4 linked regions of the Arabidopsis thaliana genome follow. The protein of the gene in region 2 interacts with the protein of the main gene of each other region in a pairwise test. Each region holds a gene or a part of one and is shown on either strand. Other genes may lie near its edges. The genes, in order: ICK5, CDKD1;3, CYCA2;1 and CYCD6;1.

Region 1 (4,347 bases), about 12 Mb from region 2:
AATCCTTGGGGACAATGTTGTGATCTGAGTTTTGTAGTGTTAGGAGTTTAACGACTTCTTTGAATATTACCAAATAGCCAGTTGCAATTCTTCGACATAGTTATTATCAAACAGATAAGAAAAGTAACTTCCATTTTATCCTTTTTCAGTTTGAAGGACTTCAAGGAATTCGCAGAGGCAATAGACTCTGTTAGTGATAAAGGCGTTGCAGTGGCCGTGGCATCACAAGAAGACATTGATGCAGCAAACAGAGAACGCTCAAATTTTTTCGAGGTGAAGAAAGCAGCTCTCTGAGTCTGAGACCCTCTTAGAAAGTAGCTTGTCACAATGAGGAATGACTCTTCTTAGGTTCACGGTACGACGCATCAAATCTCTAAGCTCGTACTTATTTGTGTTTTACTTCACTGTGTTTTGTATAGTTATATATGCCAACATCATGACTTATCACAGTTGAAATTTAGCATTTTTACCTGAAAACACAGGCTTTAGCTACTGTTGCATTTGAGTTGTTACTTTTTTGGACAATTTTTCTTTCGTTTTAGCCTTTGCTCTTTAAGAACTAAGAATCCTAGTTCTATTTATATTCCATTATCGTATCAAGATAAGCTCTCGAGGATTTTCCTGTACCTTTTAGGTTATAAAACCAGTTTCGTTTGATTCACATTTTGTTGAAAATGATGAGTCAAAATAGACATTATATTCATCATTGGCTGGGATCGGATCGAACAGTGCCTGTTCTTGTTAAAACAAATGGCTCTCAGTCATACAAAAGATGCATCTATTATTCATCATGTGTCGTGATCTTGTTATTGTCATACTATCTAATGTGACTACTCATGCTTCATTTGTTTTTGTTTGTGTTTTTGAAGTAGGTCGTAGGTCTTAAACATTTCCAAGTGAAATTGAAACGCTTATTCTTTTAGGACATTGGCATCAAGATCTCTATGTTACTTTTATAAGTGAATTAGTCTTTAAAGTTACTTTTTATTAACATTGATTCATAAAGATAACTTTTGTAAATTAGCCCATAAACAAAGATACTTGTATTGATGAATCTTCTTCGTCTCATCCTTTTACCATTATCCTTGAAAATTCTGATTACATCATTATTATGGATGAAAATTAACGAAGAGTCTTCTTTTTTTTCTTGTGATAAATTTTAAAATTATTGAAGAAGCAGAATCGGACAATTGAAGCCTAGATTATTTTTTATTTATTTTTTGCAAAATGAAGCCTAGATTCTAATATTTCATATTTTCGATATTGTACATGTGTAACTTTAAAAAAAAAAAAAAAAAAATCCCAAGTAAATGCTTGTTAGCACAATTATTATGTAACGGTCAATTATTGCTCATTATTTCACTGCCAAAAAATAACGAAAATGGTCCCATTTTATTAGAAGGAAATAAACATGTTGTATGTGTAAAATTCTTAACCCATTTTTGGACATGTACAGATTCCATGTAAAAGCTGGATTTTAAGTTGGTTTTTTGTTGTTGTCATTTAATAAGTACTATTTAATTGATTGTATTTATAGTTCTGTCTCCATGTGAAGCTGCTCATAAGAAAGTGAATGCTTTAGACTCTAATCTATGTGCCTAGTTATATCCTTAAGAAGTTGATATTTAGAGCTTATGATAGAAATTATGAATCAGCAACCATCAGAATTATTTTTTTTGTTTTGACAAATGTATTTACGTGTAAAAGAATATAAGTTTAAGAAATCTATAGTAGAAAGTAGATTAATTAACAAAAATTACTGTCACAACTCACATTTCTACAGCTTATAGGACGACGTTTTAGTTTTGGGTTGCTTTAAAAGGAAGCTAAAAACGGCAAAAAAGACGCGTCGTTTAGAATCCCGACGGCGTCTACGCTCCGTAACGACGCCGTTACCTGCTTCCCCGTGAACGGGACTCAGTTTAAAGGACCCCACTCAAAACCGGCACAACAACGGCCCATCCGCTATAGGCAAGGCCCAATAATTAAATCTCAGCCGTTGAATTAATCAACGGCTCTAGATCCTTCATCTTCCTCTCCCCCAAATACCCAAAACCCTTCCTCTGTTTTTATTAACCAGAGAAACCCCAACTTTTTCATAAACTCTCTCCAGAGAAAACTATAATGAGCTTGAGAGAAATGAGCGAAACAAAACCCAAGAGAGATTCTGAGTACGAAGGATCAAACATCAAGAGGATGAGACTCGATGATGATGATGACGTTTTACGCTCACCGACGAGAACTCTTTCTTCTTCTTCCTCTTCTTCTCTGGCTTACTCGGTTTCAGATTCCGGAGGTTTCTGCTCCGTCGCGTTATCTGAAGAAGAAGACGATCATCTAAGCTCAAGCATCAGCTCTGGTTGTTCCAGCAGCGAAACTAACGAAATCGCTACTCGTCTTCCATTTTCAGATCTGGAGGTGAAATTTCGAAACTCGAGATTACAAATTTTGAAATTTCTCTGTTTCACAATAAATGCTCTCTGAGCAAGATCTGATTACGTTTTTTTGGATTAATTAATTTTGTTTCCGTTTTCAGGCTCATGAAATCTCCGAAACCGAAATCTCAACGTTACTCACCAACAATTTCAGGTTAATTACTAAAAAAGACGTTTCAAAGATTTTTCAATTTCTTCATTGTTTCGTCTATAAATTCATAATTTTTGGAATTTCACAGGAAACAGGGAATTTCATCAAGCGAGAATCTGGGAGAAACAGCAGAAATGGACTCGGCGACGACGGAGATGAGAGATCAGAGAAAGACGGAGAAGAAGAAGAAGATGGAAAAATCACCGACGCAGGCAGAGCTTGATGACTTTTTCTCGGCGGCGGAGAGATACGAACAGAAACGATTCACAGAAAAGTGAGTCTTTTTTAGACCCACACACACGCGCATGATAGCAGAGATCCTTAACTTGCAGTTGTTTAAAACATGTATAGGTACAACTACGACATCGTCAATGATACGCCGCTTGAAGGTCGGTACCAGTGGGTTAGTCTGAAACCTTAGAAGCCATGGAAGAACAAAAAAAAAAAGAAAAAGAAGAAGAGACAGTGCTAAAGTTACACGTCCTAGTACTGTGATTTTTGTCACAGACAGAAGAATTTTTAGAGACATTTCATTGTACAGTTTTTATCTAATTTTAATTTCATCATTATCTTCATCTGTTCTTCGTACCAAGAGTTTTTTTTTTTAACTAGAAGTGTTAACATATATTTGAGTTTAATTCTCTCTGTCTCGGTGATATTGTTGGATTGTTCAACAAAAAAAGTGGGGTTACAACAATTAAAAATTGGAATTATTGTGTCAGTAAAGTTTCACTAATTTTTGTCAGTTTTGTTGTAGTGAATTTGGTGTTGTGCACATTATTAGTATTTTCATGAAATTGGGAGGATTTACGTATTTATGAATTTGGAAAACTATTTATTGTTTTGATTCTCACCTTGGATGTTTATAGAAATTGTTTTTTTCTCTTCTTTTTGTTGCTTGTACTTTATATGCTATTTTATAACTTTTTTATTTTTCTTGTTTCGACAATTGTTTTAGTGAAACAATAATGGTAATAGGAAGAAGAAAATAAATATAGATTTTAAGGAAAATGGGTAAAATTAGAAAACCATAACGGTATATATATATCATACACTTGGTATGTACTTTCTCTATAGTTCGAATGAATATTCCTCTAATTTCCTTGAAATAATTTATTTTATTATTTTATCAAGAAAACTTTATGAACAAAGTTGAATGTTTATTTATCAAAAAAAAAGAAGCAAATTTGAAAGCTTTCTCGATGATTGACGTTTTTTTTTCTTTCTGAAATTTAATTTTCAAATTATAAATGAGCTTTACGGCAAAAAATTAAAACTTTAAATGGCAAGAATACAAAAAAGGAAGAGAGAGAAGAGAATAGAGAGGATCTCATCATTACCTGATTCCGTTGGGATTATATTCCCTTTTTTTAATTTTCTTTTCTTATTTTAATTTCCTACAGCAGGCAAAGGCGCGTGACTCCACGTGCTTTCTGTTATTTTAGTTTTTCTTTTCATTTATTCTTTTTTCCTTTCCCTTATTTATGTACTTTTTTTGCGAACTGACTGTTATTATATTTTACTTAACAACACGAATTTAAATTTGAAAAGAATTGAAGAAAATAAAAATAGTGCGATTAAGGAAAAAAACTAAATAATAATGTACGTCATAATTAGGTTACCTCTTCCAACAAGCCACGTGACGAGGGAAGGGTATTTTAGGCATTGTACTCACAAAGTAGTGAAACATATAATGTTGTGACTTGGTGACCAGGCAAATGTAAGTTTTGCTTTCTATTCTAACTGTTCCTATCCTGCCAG
Region 2 (5,678 bases):
AGATAACTTTCACCTGGAAGAAATGCTAAACGAGTGGACCGACGAACCACCAATTCGCCACGACGTGTACCCGGAGAGCGATGGTGAAGGAGCCGACGACAGTTCCGACATACATGTGAGGCGTGGTGATGGGTTTTTGTACCAAAAGCAGAGTTTCTTCAGTGGAGTTGCGTTCAAAGAGGCGGTTATAGATTATGCTCTGAGAACTGGACATAATCCAACATCTCTTTGGCACTCCAACCACTCTTCCTCGACCACGAGGTCCTGTAGATCCCGACGAACTTGATGACAGATTGCTCATCTTTCAACTGGAAATAAAAAAATTGGGAATCGATTTAGGGTTCTTGAGTTTTGAGTTTGGGGTTTTAGATTTTGGATTTGGGATTCGACAATGGATCGGGTTTTAAAAACGAATCCGGGTTTTTTTGGTTTGGTTTTGACCGATAATATGGTTTCGTCTCGGGTTTACGTATCAAACCGAAGTAACCACGATTCGGGGACATTAAGCTCTTGAACTTTTAATTGGTGGGGAAATAGACGTTTAACTTTCATTTCATGGGTAAATAGCAAGAGGTCAAAGATCGGGCTTCATCTAGCCAGATGCGATAGTTCCCATGGGGAAATAGACCGTTTTTCCGTAATGTTCTGATGTTAAACAGAATGGTTTTATAACATAACAGTTCATGTATGTATGATTTGGTTCTTACCGGTTAAGTAGATAATGTATGGTGAAAATGGAAAACGACGTCTCTCACAACAAAAAACAACTAAAACCCAAAATCTCGACCCAAAACCGAATTTAACTTCAAATTAAGTAAATATGGCCCGAAGTTATAAGCCCGAATAACAGAGGCCCATTATAAAACCTGGAGCACAAGTTTCTCGTCTATAAGTGCTAGGCTACGCATAGGGCTCCGTGGATTTGTTCTAAGAGGATATTCTCCGTTGATTTGCAATTGTCAATTTCCAAGCTTCAGAACTAGAGTTCGTTCGTTCACGACGTCACTGTGGCTCTCGCGGCGTGGCTGTTACTTTCCGGTGGGTGAGGTACGGTACTTGTTATCTCTCTCCGAAACCCTAAGTAGTCCTTGGATATGTATCTTTGCCTTTTCTTATATTTACGTTTAGGAAGATAATTCGTTTTCTTGGTAGTTTACCCCTTGTATAAATATAGTCATATAGAGCTCAGGGTCAAGTGATAATCAACACATTCAATCGATCTCTTTGCATCTCTTGTCATCAAGGGTTAACTTTATCTATTATTTTGTGTTTCTCTTTGTATAGAAAAGAGATGTCGAGTGATTTGCAATCGAACTCCGGCAGATGTACCTCCGAGGACTAGATATTATGCGGATAGCTCAGCCCGTTTGGTTTTCATGGAGGGGCCTGAGATGGAGAGAAAGATGATGACAAGCTATGCGGGAAACCCAAAGTACTCCTTCTTCTGGAGCTCAGATCGTTATCATGCTTATTACCAGAAAAAGCTTGCTGGATACCGTGCGCAGAATTACATGAGGGACCTGAGATCAAACTTAGTGATTATGGGATACCTGATGTTCCATTGAGGGTGAGGGTAAGGGAACCACCGCTTCAGATTCCAAAACCTCCTCCGGGCTTTGCTAGTGACCAGAAGCCGACAATGAAGTATCCGCCTCCACCACCTCGCAAGTATGCAGCTATACTCCCTGAATGGATTACTGGCAAAGAGCTTGAAACTATCAAGGAAGGGGATATGGACGAGAAACAGCAACGATAGCTCTTAAGAAATCAGCTAAACTCTAGCAAAAACACGTGGATTGCTAATATGCTTTATAGGTTATAGGTTAAATTTGTTGAGGTATAAAACAGTCATTTCAAAAAATCAAAAATTCACGATTAATTTAGCTATTGTTTAAAAGTTTAGATATTAAATAATATTTTTCTCTTTTATAAATCGAAAATGTTTGGATATTAAATGTATAAAAAACTAGAAAAGTAAATAATTGGGCGTTTCTCTTTATTTGTTGTTTCCCTCGATTAGCCGATTGCGTCTGCAAACGCGCCAACGGCTACTTTTTCTCCGGAGCCGGAGCTCTCAAAGCTGAAACCCTAAATTTTCCCGGTATCTTCCTCATCGTCGATTTTACTCAATTTAGAATAAAAATCGGAAAGCAATCGAATTCTAGCGACGTGAATTAAGAAGAAAGAGAGAGGCGCGATTATTGAGTGGGTTCTGAAAAACCCGAAAATGCCGGAGCAGCCAAAGAAAGTTGCTGATAGGTATCTCAAGCAAGAGGTTCTTGGGCAAGGTACCTATGGAGTCGTCTTCAAAGCCACTGATACTAAGGTCATATCTTTGCTGATTTTTGTTTGCAAAATTAGGGTTTAGGATCTGTCGGCAATTCCTAATTTCTCCTTCTTTTTTGGTTCCGGATTTTGATTGAAGTTTTTGTTGGATCAAGGGGAAGTAATTGTGGGGTGTAATTTTGCAGACGGAACAAACTGTAGCAATTAAGAAGATAAGGCTTGGTAAACAAAGAGAAGGTGTAAATATTACAGCTCTCAGAGAAATCAAAATGCTCAAAGAGCTAAAGCATCCTCATATTATTCTGCTCATTGATGCATTTCCTCACAAGGAAAACTTGCATCTTGTCTTTGAGTTCATGGAGACTGACCTCGAAGCAGTTATTCGCGATTCTAACATTTTCCTCTCACCCGCCGACATTAAATCCTACCTCCTAATGACATTTAAAGGACTTGCTTATTGCCACGATAAATGGGTTTTGCACAGGTACATTTGTTTATCCTTAACAACTTGCTTATTGTCTCTGTAATGTTGCTTGGTTTGGGCACTGATTATGTGTGGCTTGAGTTCAGGGATATGAAGCCAAATAACTTGTTAATAGGAGTTGATGGACAGCTTAAGCTTGCAGATTTTGGCTTAGCACGTATATTTGGTAGTCCAAATCGTAAGTTTACCCACCAGGTATGCCTTTTGCCGCATTGCCATTTTATCTATTGCTGTAATATAACCAAATTGATCGACTAACTCATATGAAATATTGATAAGAAAGTTTTAAGTAGTTCTTATCAGTAGTTATGTCTAGGGATGAGGAAGATTAGATGTCTCATGTCTTTTCATTTCTCTAGTTGTATACTAAATGTAACATGTATTAAACAGTCTCAACTCATATTAAATGATGGTGCAGTAGCTATCTCATATCTGTACTAAAAGTTTTGCTGTTAACCGGATTTTTGACCTGAGCTATTTCTGCCTTCTTTGTTTCCCTTTGAACACCCAAAATTACAATAGAATCCATGTGAGCTCTGTTTCCAAATGCGCAATGCAACTTATTTTCTCTTGTTTCTAGTTGTTATATTATCTTCATATCTTGATATATCTGATAATGCACAGGTGTTTGCTAGATGGTACAGAGCACCAGAACTTTTGTTTGGTGCAAAACAATATGGTGCTGCAGTTGATGTTTGGGCCGTTGCCTGCATATTCGCCGAACTTCTACTACGCAGACCATTTCTTCAGGTTAAATAATCTTACTCAAATCTAATGGCTACCATTAAAACTTTAGTCCAATTGTCATCTCTTTGGATGTTATACTCACTCTCAGACTACATAATTACATATTCATTATCAATTTTCTCGGTATGTTTACTTATTCTATTTTTGCCGTTGCAGGGAAACAGTGATATTGATCAATTAAGCAAAATATTTGCTGCTTTTGGGACACCAAAAGCAGATCAGTGGCCGGATTTAACAAAGCTTCCAGATTATGTAGAGTATCAATTTGTCCCTGCACCGTCTCTACGTTCTTTATTCCCAGCAGTTAGTGATGATGCTCTCGACTTGTTGTCCAAAATGTTTACCTATGACCCAAAGGCTAGAATTTCCATTAAGCAGGCTCTAGAACACAGGTGCCTAATGTTCACCATCTGTTTATAGGCAAAGTATATCTAGCGTTCTGCTCTCACACCTTTGTTTTCATTATTTCAGGTACTTCACTTCTGCACCTGCTCCTACTGACCCGGCTAAGCTCCCAAAGCCCGTTCCTAAGCAGGATGGTAAATCATCTTACGGTAAACATGAGGCCATTACAGTGCAATCACCACCACGTAAGCTTAGAAGAGTGATGCCTGAGCGTGGGAGGGTTGATAGTTTGAAGTCTCATGTTGACAAGGATCAACAAGCACCCATGTCATTAGATTTTACCATCCTCGCTGAGCGACCTCCAAACAGGCCAACAATCACCAGGTAAAAAACAAGACAGTTTCTCCCTCACTGCATATTAATCTCATTTGTCATTACAGCCTCAAGATTGATTGTGTTTTAATGACTTCTTCTTGTTCAATTTGTAGTGCTGATAGATCTCATCTGAAGAGGAAACTCGATCTTGAGTTCCAGTAAGACTGTTGGTTATGCACTCTTCTCTTAGCTTCTCCATTTTCATGTTCTGGTGAAACCACACCATTGTTAAGTTGTCAATTTACTGCTGCTTGTGTAATCTGGCGATTTATTCTTTTCCATATTTAGCTTGATTACAAACCAGAGGGACCTTAGATTCACAATGATAATATTTTGTTGTCCCATAGGCTTTTTATTCATTGTAAACTGATCATACTGTACTATGAAGTCTATGATTATAAAGCTTTCTACTTTTTGCTTCTAGAATTCTTTGCGGTACAAAGAGAGCTCTGTTTAATCTTCAAACTCATTTTTCTTTCGATGGTGGCCCCAGGAATTTAATTGATCCATTGACAGCTCAAAAAGATTTTACCAAATACCAACAACAGGTTTATAAAACACATACGAGCCAGAAAAACAGATGCCCACATGTCAGTCAGGCTCTTCTTTAGTCATACCCGCTTGAAGACTATCACGATTGCTGTGCAGTTGTCTTTGCAACGACGTTCTTTCACAGCTTCCTTCACAAGACGGCGACTTACCGTGCTTACATGCAAGCCCTCCTACAAAATCATAGTTCTTAGCCTCTTAGTTTCTCACATTTAATTTCCCTTGACACTCTTTACTTGTGTGCACAAGGTTCTAACAAGCCATTTTGCTCACATGGCTACCGAAAAACATCTGTTTTTTGAGCTTCTTTCTATGTAGTTAAAGAGAGTGTGAAATGGAGGACAAAGTGATTTTGACAACTGTAGGTATTTACCTTCAAAAGTTTCTGGACAAATCCAACAGCATCACTTGGTCCAAACACCTGAAAACGGTTGCATTGTGTATGAGCAGCAAACTTTGATATATAAAGACAAAATGAAATGTTCTTATAGAGCACTGCAAAACCACAAACGAAGAGCTTACTTACTTCCCACAATCCATCGCAACCAAGAATCATGAAGTTTTCTCTCTCAGTTAATTCAAAAGCATGAATGTCTGGAGTTGCACTGACACCAAACTAGATTCAATAACTTGCGTTAGATGCGAATAAACCATAAGATTTTAGGATAAGTTACAGATTCTAGGCATTTGAAGTTGCAAAATGATATGGAGCAAGGTTCAAGAACATGTCGATAGAATATTGCACGCGAGAGCTAAAATGTCACAGATAATGGGCTCAATATAAAGTGGGAAGCCACCGGATCATTACCTTCTTAAAATGACGATCACCAAAAGCCCTAGAAACCTCAAGACGCCCTTGTAACCGTCCATTTGAGCTTATAACACCACCTGA
Region 3 (5,211 bases), on a different chromosome or scaffold from region 2:
CATCTATTATTGTAACTGATGTTAAATAATATTTTTTATATCGATTAAAAATAAAGATTTAAATTAGTATCAATTAAAAATAAGTGATTTAAATTAGTATCATTTAATTTTCTGAAACAAATTATGTGATGTAAATGAGTTTCTTTTTTTGTAGTGAGGATTCTTGTTAATCAAGAGTACCATTGCTCTAGAAGCATCTCTCTTCTCTTTTTCAACCTTGACCTCATATATCTCAAAGACATAAAGCTTTTTGAGGAGTCCAAGCAAGGAAGTGACTAGCAGGATTCGCATATGAGCAATATCAACTCCGTTTGCTTGTTGATGAATAAAGTCTTTCTTGACAAACTCTCTCTCAAAATTGATAAACTCATGTATCTCTTCATTTGTTAACATAAAAAACAGTAATATTTTACATTAATAAATTTTACATTAACGATTATGAAAACTGATAATAATACAAAAAATATGTCAACGATTTATATTATATGAGATTTATAAATTTATTTAGTGTAATAAACCAAACAATGGTAAAATAAAACAAATAAAGAAAACAAAAACATGGAAAAATATTATCTAGTAACACTTTGTTTAGCCATAAACAAAAAATCCATGAAAATCATTGCTAGAGTTTATACAACTCACTGAGAAGAATCTGTAAAACTTTTAAAATCTCTAAACTTTTGAAATCTTTAAATTCTTCAACAATCAACTTACCAATAGAAATAGCGTGAAAACAAATTTTAAAATTTTAATTTAGTTAAAAATTAAAAATAATGTAATGATAATGATAATGTATTATACGTATAGTATCAATTGAAACATTTTGATTGATAATCTACCTGTTAATTTAAATTTTTAAGAAATTTCTTACATGATAGTTTTTTGATATTAAAAAAAAAAGAGACTTTAGTATGAAGAGTAAAATTATATTGCCTACATGAAGAGGAAATATGTCTGCCAAATTTAAAGCTAGACTCCAAATTTAGAAAGAATAGTAAATTTTTATTTTGTAATTAATAGTTTTTAACAATGAAGCAAACACCAATTTCTTTTCTTTGGTGACTATGTTCCTCTTTAATATTAGATTTTTTTTTTTTTTTACAAAACATAGATTGGGTTTTTGTTAGAGTCAGTGAATAGTTTGTGATAATAGTCCAATGGGCTTTTAGGTTATGAAACGGTTTAATCAATGGGGCACTCAAATAGTAAAGTAAGGAACAGATGCCATAGAATAGAGCGCGTAACGGCTGATTAGATCTCCAAATTAAAAAAAAAAAGAGAATTTACCACAACTACAAGACCAGACGTCAAAGTGTCAGAAACCACTCTGTCACTTACTTCCCAATAAAAATCCAAAAATTATCATTTGTCCAAATCCCAAAGTCACTTTCTCTTTTCTTTTGTTTTTCAACTTTAAAAATTTTAATATCTGAATTTCGAAACGAGACCACAAAATCCCGCTCACGCAGTCACGCTCCTCCTATTTCAACACACACTCTCTTCGCTGTTGTAGATCATTCTCATTCTCTATATTCGATTTTCTGTGACAAAGGTATCACATCATTTTACACGTCTCTCGTTTGGATCGATGTTTATTTATTTTTGTTGTTCGTAATTTGAGTTTTTTTGTTTGTAGATCTGTTTTTTTCTCTGTTCTTATTTTTCTAAGTGTTTGTGGTTTTTTTTTCTCTCTGTTTTGTTTGTATGTTTATGTTTCAGACAATGATTTGATCACGGAAACATATACCGAATTCAGACAATGATTTGATCATGTTTGTGTTTATGTTTTTATTTTCTTGTTATTGTCACGGAAACATTTAAGAAAAATGATCAATAATAAGAAATATGATCGTGGAGGTGATTTTTTGTATAGAATTTTTTTTTGGGTCAAAGATGAAATTTAATGTTGGGAACTTGATTTTACTTGTTTAAAGTTCTTCCACTCAATTTCTTTCAAGTTTATGAAGTTGAGATTTGATCTCACTAATTGAGCATGCGATTTTTCTTGAATCTGAATTTGCTAACATTTTTTAACTCTGATTGATTCAGGTTTGGCTTGTTGAATCAGTGGAGTGTTTTTTTATAATTTGAAATCATGCATAGAGCTTCTTCTAAGCACACTAATGCGAAGAAAGAAGCAATCTCTACTTCGAAAATTCGAGATAATAATGTGAGAGTCACTAGATCAAGAGCTAAGGCCTTAGGAGTGTCGAATTCTCCATCAAAACCCGCTTTTAAACATGAAACGAAGCGTGTTGCTAGACCGAGTAATAAACGAATGGCATCGGATAATATCACAGTTTGTAATCAGAAAAGACGAGCGGTGCTCAAGGATGTGACTAACACTTTGGCAGAAAGTATAATTTCTACAGAAGGCAATGTTAAGGTAGCAAATTTTTATGCTTTCTTTGCATTTTCTTGATTCGTATATGTTTTGGTTTAGAATTTGTTGTTAATGATACAATGTGGCAGGCTTGCAAGCGAGGTGGTAAAGAAACTAAGCAAATAGAAGAAGATGGTTTGGTAGATGTGGATGGCGAAAAATCTAAACTAGCAGAAGATTTGTCAAAGATTAGAATGGTTGAATCTTTAGATGCATCTGCTTCAAAGCAAAGTAAGAAACTTCACTACTAAAGAATGTGTTTGTACCAGAGTGTTTGTTTCTCAAATTTACTCAAGAATTAGTGGATTGTGCAGAAGAAGACAGATCTGATGTCACAGATTGTGTTCAGATTGTAGATATAGATTCAGGTGTCCAAGATCCTCAGTTTTGTAGCTTATATGCTGCAAGTATATATGACAGCATTAATGTTGCAGAGGTTTGCATTACATAATCTCAATGCTTGGTCTTATTCTATCTTCCCAAAAGATGATTTACATTTTGAGATTTTGAGTTACTTATATTAACCAATACTTTTTGTACAGCTTGAACAAAGACCTTCAACTAGCTATATGGTGCAAGTGCAGCGAGATATCGATCCAACGATGCGCGGAATTCTGATTGATTGGCTCGTGGAGGTAGGAATACAATATTTGCTATGCATAGTTTTACACTTTTACTTGAACTTGTGTAAAAGTTGAAAGTGTGTTATTTTCAAAGTATTTGCTAAACTAAGAATCTCTTTTCTTTCAGGTCTCTGAAGAGTACAAGTTGGTTTCAGATACACTTTACCTTACCGTGAATCTAATTGATCGGTTCATGTCTCATAATTACATTGAAAAGCAGAAGCTCCAGCTACTTGGTATCACTTGCATGTTAATAGCCTCGTGAGTTACCACTTTTACTGTTTCCTCATTCACAATGCAATGAAAGTAAAACTGAACAATCAGTGGACACAGAGGAACACATGTTTGCTCTCATTGCATACTTAGAGCAAGTTTTACTCTGGAATATATACTTAAATTAATAATTACAGATTAGTACTTCTCAAGTAACTAAGGTATTCCTCCTTGTTGAAGCAAATACGAAGAGATTAGTGCACCGCGGTTGGAGGAGTTTTGCTTCATTACAGACAATACATACACAAGACTAGAAGTAATTAACATGCAGACTCCATCTCTATCAGTTCTCAGCTAAGATGATTCATTCTTAATAAAAGATTAACAAAAAATACAATACACTATTTTTTCAGGTACTAAGTATGGAGATTAAAGTTTTAAACTCTCTTCATTTTCGGTTATCAGTTCCCACCACCAAAACGTTTCTCAGGTAATCATTAAACACATCAAAATGCACCATTACTTAACATAGTCTCTTTAACGTTTTCAAAACATTCTAAAGTCATTTTCTTCTTCTCTGTTTCAGGCGGTTCATTCGCGCCGCTCAAGCGTCTGATAAGGTGAGATTTACATTGATACATTTCACTAATCATTCTCAGCATTTGAAATAACTTGGAATCAGTAAACTGATTTTGTTGGTTTACAGGTTCCTCTCATTGAAATGGAGTACTTAGCCAACTATTTCGCGGAACTAACTCTCACAGAATATACTTTCCTAAGGTTCCTTCCATCCCTAATTGCCGCTTCAGCGGTTTTCTTAGCAAGATGGACACTCGACCAATCTAACCATCCTTGGGTGAGTGAGCTCATATTTCTCATTATGAATGTTTTTACCTCATTGAAACAATTTTTGGTGATGTGAATGTTATTGCTTACAGAACCAAACTCTACAACACTATACAAGATATGAAACATCCGCTCTAAAAAACACGGTACTTGCAATGGAGGAGTTGCAGCTCAACACCAGTGGAAGCACTCTTATCGCTATACACACCAAATACAACCAACAAAAGGTATAATAATAAATTCAATCTAAGAAAGTGGACACTGAATCTGAATTTGGTCTCTCTCACTCTATATGAATATTTGACAGTTTAAAAGAGTGGCAACATTAACATCTCCTGAACGTGTGAACACACTCTTCTCAAGATGAAACCGCAGATTTTCTGATTCTCCTGATATGACCAAGTCAGCACAACTCTCTGGCTTCAGCAGTTTGTATCAGGTGATCATCAATCCTAGTTTCAGACATCAGTTTTGGTCTCTACAGTTATGGAATAGTTTTCCTTGTAAGTTGTCTGTCTATCTTTTACCTGTAACTGTTGTTAGTGTCAGGTGCTTCCAAAGAAGTGCCATCTCATGGAAAATTGTATCAACCAAAACACAATTTTGACTCATTGAGATTTGTCCTTCACAGTAAAAAAATGTTATAGATTTTTGTAGACTCATTAATAAAAGCAAGTGTTCATGCGCCATTGTATATTTATTTAGTTTTGGTTACCAAGTGATGTTCCAGTGGTAATTACATTCCATTGGGCCCAAATAAACTTCACAATAAACAAATATGAAAAACCTTTTGTTTCTTGTTCAAGAAACTCGACCTAAGCAATACCAGATTCTCTAAAACAATACAAACTGGGTTTTCTCTCTTATGCCAACCTTTTCCTGTCTTGAGTGAAAAGCCTAGTTGATACCCATTTAAACAAAGATCTATAAAGACAAAATTTGTTGAAAACTTGGCTTTCCATTAACAAGTAATTATTTCTTTCACAATATCATACTAAAGATGAATTATACGTATATTTGTCGTAAATAAACGGAGCGATATATCATAGAGAAATATCCTAAAATAGCACTCAAACAAGTTTAATGGACAATTAAAATAACATTGTCCACAAATTTGTAAAATTAGCTTTAGTGAATTTACTCAGT
Region 4 (5,075 bases), on a different chromosome or scaffold from region 2:
ACACTTTTAAGTTTTTTGGATAAAAATAGCATTAAAAGGTTTTTTAGACATAAATAGCACTCAAATAATAATACCACAATTTTATGGACAATAATAATACCACAATTTTATATAAAATCTATTCAACCAAAATAAGTTAGAAATAAATTTAAAATATTATATTTGGGTTCTCTATTTCCAATTTAGGGTATATATTTTAACTATTTAAAAAAAATTTTGATTCCTTTTAATATTAGTTTATGGTATTATATTTGGGTTTCCTATTTCCAATTTAGGGTATATATTTTCACCATTTAAAAGAGATTTTTCATTTTAAAATTAGTTTGTAGTATTATATTTGGGGTTTTTATTTCCAATTTAGGGTATATATTTCCACTATTTAAAAGTTTTTTGATTCAATTACTTCTTTTGCAATAAATATCTAATATTTTTTTATTCTTTAAAGTGGTTCAAAATCTGGCATTTGTTAAAAAGAAACAAAAAATTGTCACTCTTTCTCTATGAAACATATTACTATTATATTGTTTAAAAAACAAGAAACTATATTATTATCAACACTTTTCTGTTGTTTATTAGCTAATACTCCCAAAACATTTTTTTTGGACAAATACTAATACCCCCAAAAACTAATAAGCTGTTTTTTCTTACGTTACAAGCATATAAATTCTTATGTTTGTTAGGTCAGTCAATGTTTTCTTTCATTTCGTTCATATCTAGAGTTTCAAAGGCCTTTGCATTTCACATTTTCTACATAAAATTAATGTTTTCTTTTCCGTCTAAAAATAGACCAGTCAGGCTTTGGCAGTAAAAGATCAAAGTAAAAAAATAAAAACAAAAAGTTTGTTCAAATGGCGTTTTCACATGGCAGTTTGTTCATTGACTTCTCAATTTTTCTTTATTGACTTAAAAAAAATAATCTGAATATATATGTTGGGAATTTCAAAACCTAACAAAAGGTAAGTACAAAGACTTAAGGACAAGGAAAACCAAGCTGTCACAACCTAATTAGTAATTTAAAATGTGTGATACAATGATGATTAAAAACAAAACAAAGACTTAAAAAGATTTCTAAAGTTAATCAATGTTTGTAACTGTTTGGACGAGATTCCAAAGTGACGAATCTTTTGATACATAAAACTGTACATTACATCAGCTCTATTTATGAGTAAATGACAACTTTATGTGGTAAATAAAATGGTTTAACGATAGTATATGTTATTATCATATTTAATCTCCCCAGCCTTAGTATATTTTAAAGTTGGGTCTTACCAAATTCATGAAAGAACTTTAACACACACAAAATTCATAGAAGAACTTTTTTTTAGCATGATACTAAATTTACATGATCTAAAACTCAAACAAAATGTAATATCTATATATATTATGCTGGTTTTTTTTTCAATATGATTTTTTAATTGTTTGGTACTTGATATTAATACTAAAATGCAATTTTATTTATTTATTGAATTATTGACTTAATTTGTAATAAAATCTAATAAAAACATTACACGTATTAGTGTATTACATATTTTTTAAACAACTAAGTAATAATTTACGGTTATAAATTTTTAATACAAACGGCTCTGTTTATGAATATTTGTAGTTTAAGGTTTTTGCATACAAATTAAGAAAACATACAAATCTCATTTAATTTATCTATTTCTTATAAAAACACCATTAATTACAACTAATCCAACCAATAAAAAAATATGATGCAAAATATAATTGGTTAAAAACTATTAAATACATTTAATGTTTGCATAGAAAAGTGAAAACAACATTTATATTGAAAAAAATAAAAAATTATTGAACTACACTTAATTAAAAACAGAGGATTATAGAGAATTTAAGAGAGAATATTGGATTTTTTTTCCTTCTAATATTGCAAAAGAAGAATCTCTTGAAAAAGATTTGATTATCTTTGATAAAATCTTAATTCTTACTATCAATGAGAAAAAATCGAATAAAAAAATAACCAAAGTGGTAGTAATAAATAAATGTGGAAAATCTCTCAAAAGACCGAAAACCATCTCTCTCTATCTCACAATAAAGACAACTTCTCTCTTTTAATGTCTCTCTGTCCCTCTCTCTTCTTCTTCATCTTCTAACACCAATTCAAGAAAGAAGGAAGCTTAAGAAGAGTCTATCATCAATCAATGGAGTTTCATCTTGAACATCCTCTCTCACATTCTTCACTCCACAATAACTTCAACGACGACACAGACTATGAAACTTTACCACACTCTCTCTTCCTCGTCGAGTTTCAACACATGCCTTCTTCTCATTACTTCCATAGCCTCAAGTCCTCTGCTTTTCTTCTCTCTAATCGAAACCAAGCCATTTCTTCAATCACTCAGGTCTTTTTAACCAAAATTATTTTCTGGGTTTAGTTCTGAATACTGAATCGTTATCGAAAGACTTAACTTTATTTTAATTTGTAACTGAACAATCGCAGTATTCAAGAAAATTCGACGACCCATCTCTGACGTATCTTGCTGTGAATTATCTAGACAGGTTCTTGTCTAGCGAAGATATGCCGGTAAAAACAGAATCTTCCGACAGAATCTGTCCTTTGTTTCATCTGAGTTTTGACTAAATTGTTTTGTCAACAGCAGTCAAAGCCCTGGATTCTTAAGCTCATATCTCTCTCTTGTGTCTCTTTGTCTGCAAAAATGAGGAAACCAGACATGTCTGTTTCTGATCTTCCGGTAACTTAAAACTCATGAATCTTTATAATGTGAATGTGTTTTAAAGTGTTGATAAGTGTCTGAACATTGGATTTTTTTCAGGTGGAAGGTGAGTTTTTTGATGCTCAGATGATAGAGAGAATGGAGAATGTGATTCTAGGAGCTCTTAAATGGAGGATGCGCTCTGTTACTCCTTTCTCCTTTTTGGCCTTTTTCATTAGTCTCTTTGAGCTCAAAGAAGAAGATCCTTTACTACTAAAACATTCCCTCAAATCTCAAACCAGTGATCTTACTTTCAGTCTTCAACATGGTAAATACAGAATTGCTTTTCTTCAATCACATAATCACAATATGCTAAAATCTGTTTGAAAACGCTGCAGATATCAGTTTCCTCGAGTTTAAACCATCGGTGATTGCAGGCGCGGCACTTCTCTTTGCTTCTTTCGAGCTCTGTCCTCTACAGTTTCCATGTTTCAGTAACAGAATCAACCAATGCACATATGTAAATAAGGTAAAGAAGTCTTGAACAAGTAAACCATCTCAAATCGAGCTTTTTTTTCATCGCGGTACTAAGCGAGCATTAAACCGTGGTTGCAGGATGAGTTAATGGAGTGTTACAAAGCAATACAAGAGAGAGATATTATAGTTGGAGAAAACGAAGGAAGCACTGAAACAGCAGTAAATGTGCTTGATCAGCAATTCTCGAGTTGTGAAAGCGATAAGAGCATCACAATCACAGCTTCTTCTTCACCTAAGAGGAGGAAAACTAGTACTCGTCGTTACTAAGCTGAAAAAGGTGGTTAATGGTCAAACATAATCGTCAGATGAAATCAATCACTTAGCTACTTCAAAAACCACTTCTGGTCCCCTTATGAAAATGACACTTGCTTCCTTTCCCCTTATCTCCATCCATCTTCTTCTGCTTCAAAAATAAACCATTTCTCTCTTCCTGGAAGACAAGAGAGTGATGAATGATCAAAGACAAAGTCTCGGGTTCTGTTCCGTTGCTTGTTCCTTTGGACCACAACACAAAACTCAAAAAATTCAAAAGAAAAACAAATTACCAGTCTGTAGTATTTATCTATCTATCTACCTATCAATCATGTTCTGTATTTACAGTTTTGGCTTGTGGAGTTAAGTTGTTTCACTTGGGGGGAATAATCAATAAATATTGTTCTTGTGTAGTGTATATAACCCTATGGTTATGTTATTTATTAATGAACAAATGTGGTCACGAGATAACAATGAATTCAATTTTCAGGAATAAGATTTTGTCTTATGAGACTTCGTTATCCGACTTATATGGATCCAGTTGCCAGAATCTCTGTTGCAGGCAGGCAATATGATACTCTTTGGACCACTTTACACAGTCTTTAAATCATTCAATTGCTTTTGTTCTTACTGTAAATGAATCCCTTGCACTAACCCATATTAGGCCCACTAGCATCATAACGGCCCAAGATTGTGATATACAAGATCCATTCAAGCCCATTACTTAATGAAAACAATTGCAAGACTCAGACTGTGCTGAAAAGAATGTATACCATGGTTTCCAATTTCAGACATTATTGAGAAGCTATAAGAATCAAAGCTTCTGATGTATGTAATGCACAACAACAAAACACAAAGATGAAGAAGATGAATAAAGGGAAGAAAGTGTGTATCTATCACATCTTCATCGTTACCTCGCTAAGGAAATCGCAGGCAATGAAAGAGGGAGAGAGAGAGATCAGATAGGTCCGAGAGTTCCTTCACTTCGACTTCTTCGCATGGAGAGCTCAGTTCTCAGACTAGACAATCTATCACCAGTAGCAACGTGATAATTCTCGTAAGCAGCTGGAGATAGTTTGTGTCCCACAGGTGGAAGACGGCTGCGTCTCTCCTTGGACCGTTTCTGCAATGCTGGTGCTTTACGAGCTGTGGAGGATCCAGGTTTGTGAGAACTGGATGCACCATGGCTACTCTTCCGGCTACTGTTTTTGAGCTCTGATCTAAGGCCTCGGTCCAACTGATGTGTGCTTGTCCCGAGCCGAGCATCTTTAGTGCCTTGTCTATTATAGTATACCAAATTTGGCAGAAGTCCCAAAAGGTACTTTCTCAGTTGTTCATCACCAACATTCTTCTGTGCAGGGTTACCTTCCAAGCTTATAGCCTGAAGAGAACTGTAATTTGCAGCGAGCTGGCCAAGACATTTGGTGGTTGAAAACTTATTGAAGCGTAAATCCAGGACCGTCAATTTCAAAAGTCGATGAAGACCCTCGATTTCGCTGATTTTGTTCCCAGCTAGGTATAGTTCTTTCAGAGAGGAGCACGAAGCCAGACCTAAGTCAACAAGAAATAAGAAAAAGGGAAATACATCAAACATGGTTTTCATATAAAAGCAGATAA

What was found.
Region 1: the proteins of CDKD1;3 (region 2) and ICK5 interact in a protein complementation assay, tested with the Arabidopsis thaliana proteins (one large-scale study listed by BioGRID).
Region 3: the proteins of CDKD1;3 (region 2) and CYCA2;1 interact in a protein complementation assay, tested with the Arabidopsis thaliana proteins (one large-scale study listed by BioGRID).
Region 4: the proteins of CDKD1;3 (region 2) and CYCD6;1 interact in a protein complementation assay, tested with the Arabidopsis thaliana proteins (one large-scale study listed by BioGRID).

What each region holds. Positions count from the first base shown.
Region 1 is NC_003070.9:18,364,352-18,368,698, reverse strand, and holds ICK5 (Cyclin-dependent kinase inhibitor family protein), read left to right. Parts: upstream 1-1,954; 5' UTR 1,955-2,124; coding exon 2,125-2,418; intron 2,419-2,536; coding exon 2,537-2,589; intron 2,590-2,674; coding exon 2,675-2,860; coding exon of another isoform or gene 2,861-2,864; exon of another isoform or gene 2,865-2,937; coding exon 2,938-3,007; 3' UTR 3,008-3,363; downstream 3,364-4,347. Other genes in the region: PREP2 (presequence protease 2), read left to right, coding at 150-294. UniProt on the Arabidopsis thaliana protein: Binds and inhibits CYCD2-1/CDKA-1 complex kinase activity. May target specifically CDKA-1.
Region 2 is NC_003070.9:6,205,849-6,211,526, reverse strand, and holds CDKD1;3 (cyclin-dependent kinase D1;3), read left to right. Parts: upstream 1-1,998; 5' UTR 1,999-2,227; coding exon 2,228-2,326; intron 2,327-2,471; coding exon 2,472-2,770; intron 2,771-2,856; coding exon 2,857-2,965; intron 2,966-3,065; exon of another isoform or gene 3,066-3,381; intron 3,382-3,394; coding exon 3,395-3,520; intron 3,521-3,673; coding exon 3,674-3,909; intron 3,910-3,988; coding exon 3,989-4,246; intron 4,247-4,350; coding exon 4,351-4,399; 3' UTR 4,400-4,656; downstream 4,657-5,678. Other genes in the region: AT1G18050 (SWAP/surp RNA-binding domain protein), read left to right, coding at 1-261, 972-1,042, 1,285-1,565; AT1G18030 (Protein phosphatase 2C family protein), read right to left, coding at 4,849-4,959, 5,160-5,207, 5,313-5,402, 5,595-5,678.
Region 3 is NC_003076.8:8,813,135-8,818,345, forward strand, and holds CYCA2;1 (cyclin a2;1), read left to right. Parts: upstream 1-2,095; coding exon 2,096-2,386; intron 2,387-2,472; coding exon 2,473-2,614; intron 2,615-2,679; coding exon 2,680-2,819; intron 2,820-2,925; coding exon 2,926-3,018; intron 3,019-3,133; coding exon 3,134-3,267; intron 3,268-3,459; coding exon 3,460-3,535; intron 3,536-3,632; coding exon 3,633-3,709; intron 3,710-3,805; coding exon 3,806-3,839; intron 3,840-3,925; coding exon 3,926-4,075; intron 4,076-4,157; coding exon 4,158-4,292; coding exon of another isoform or gene 4,293-4,298; exon of another isoform or gene 4,299-4,372; coding exon 4,373-4,432; downstream 4,433-5,211. UniProt on the Arabidopsis thaliana protein: May negatively regulate endocycles and act as a regulator of ploidy levels in endoreduplication.
Region 4 is NC_003075.7:1,430,773-1,435,847, reverse strand, and holds CYCD6;1 (Cyclin D6;1), read left to right. Parts: upstream 1-1,986; 5' UTR 1,987-2,156; coding exon 2,157-2,357; intron 2,358-2,455; coding exon 2,456-2,539; intron 2,540-2,612; coding exon 2,613-2,708; intron 2,709-2,789; coding exon 2,790-2,997; intron 2,998-3,067; coding exon 3,068-3,198; exon of another isoform or gene 3,199-3,284; coding exon 3,285-3,473; 3' UTR 3,474-4,004; downstream 4,005-5,075. Other genes in the region: AT4G03260 (Outer arm dynein light chain 1 protein), read right to left, coding at 4,417-5,009.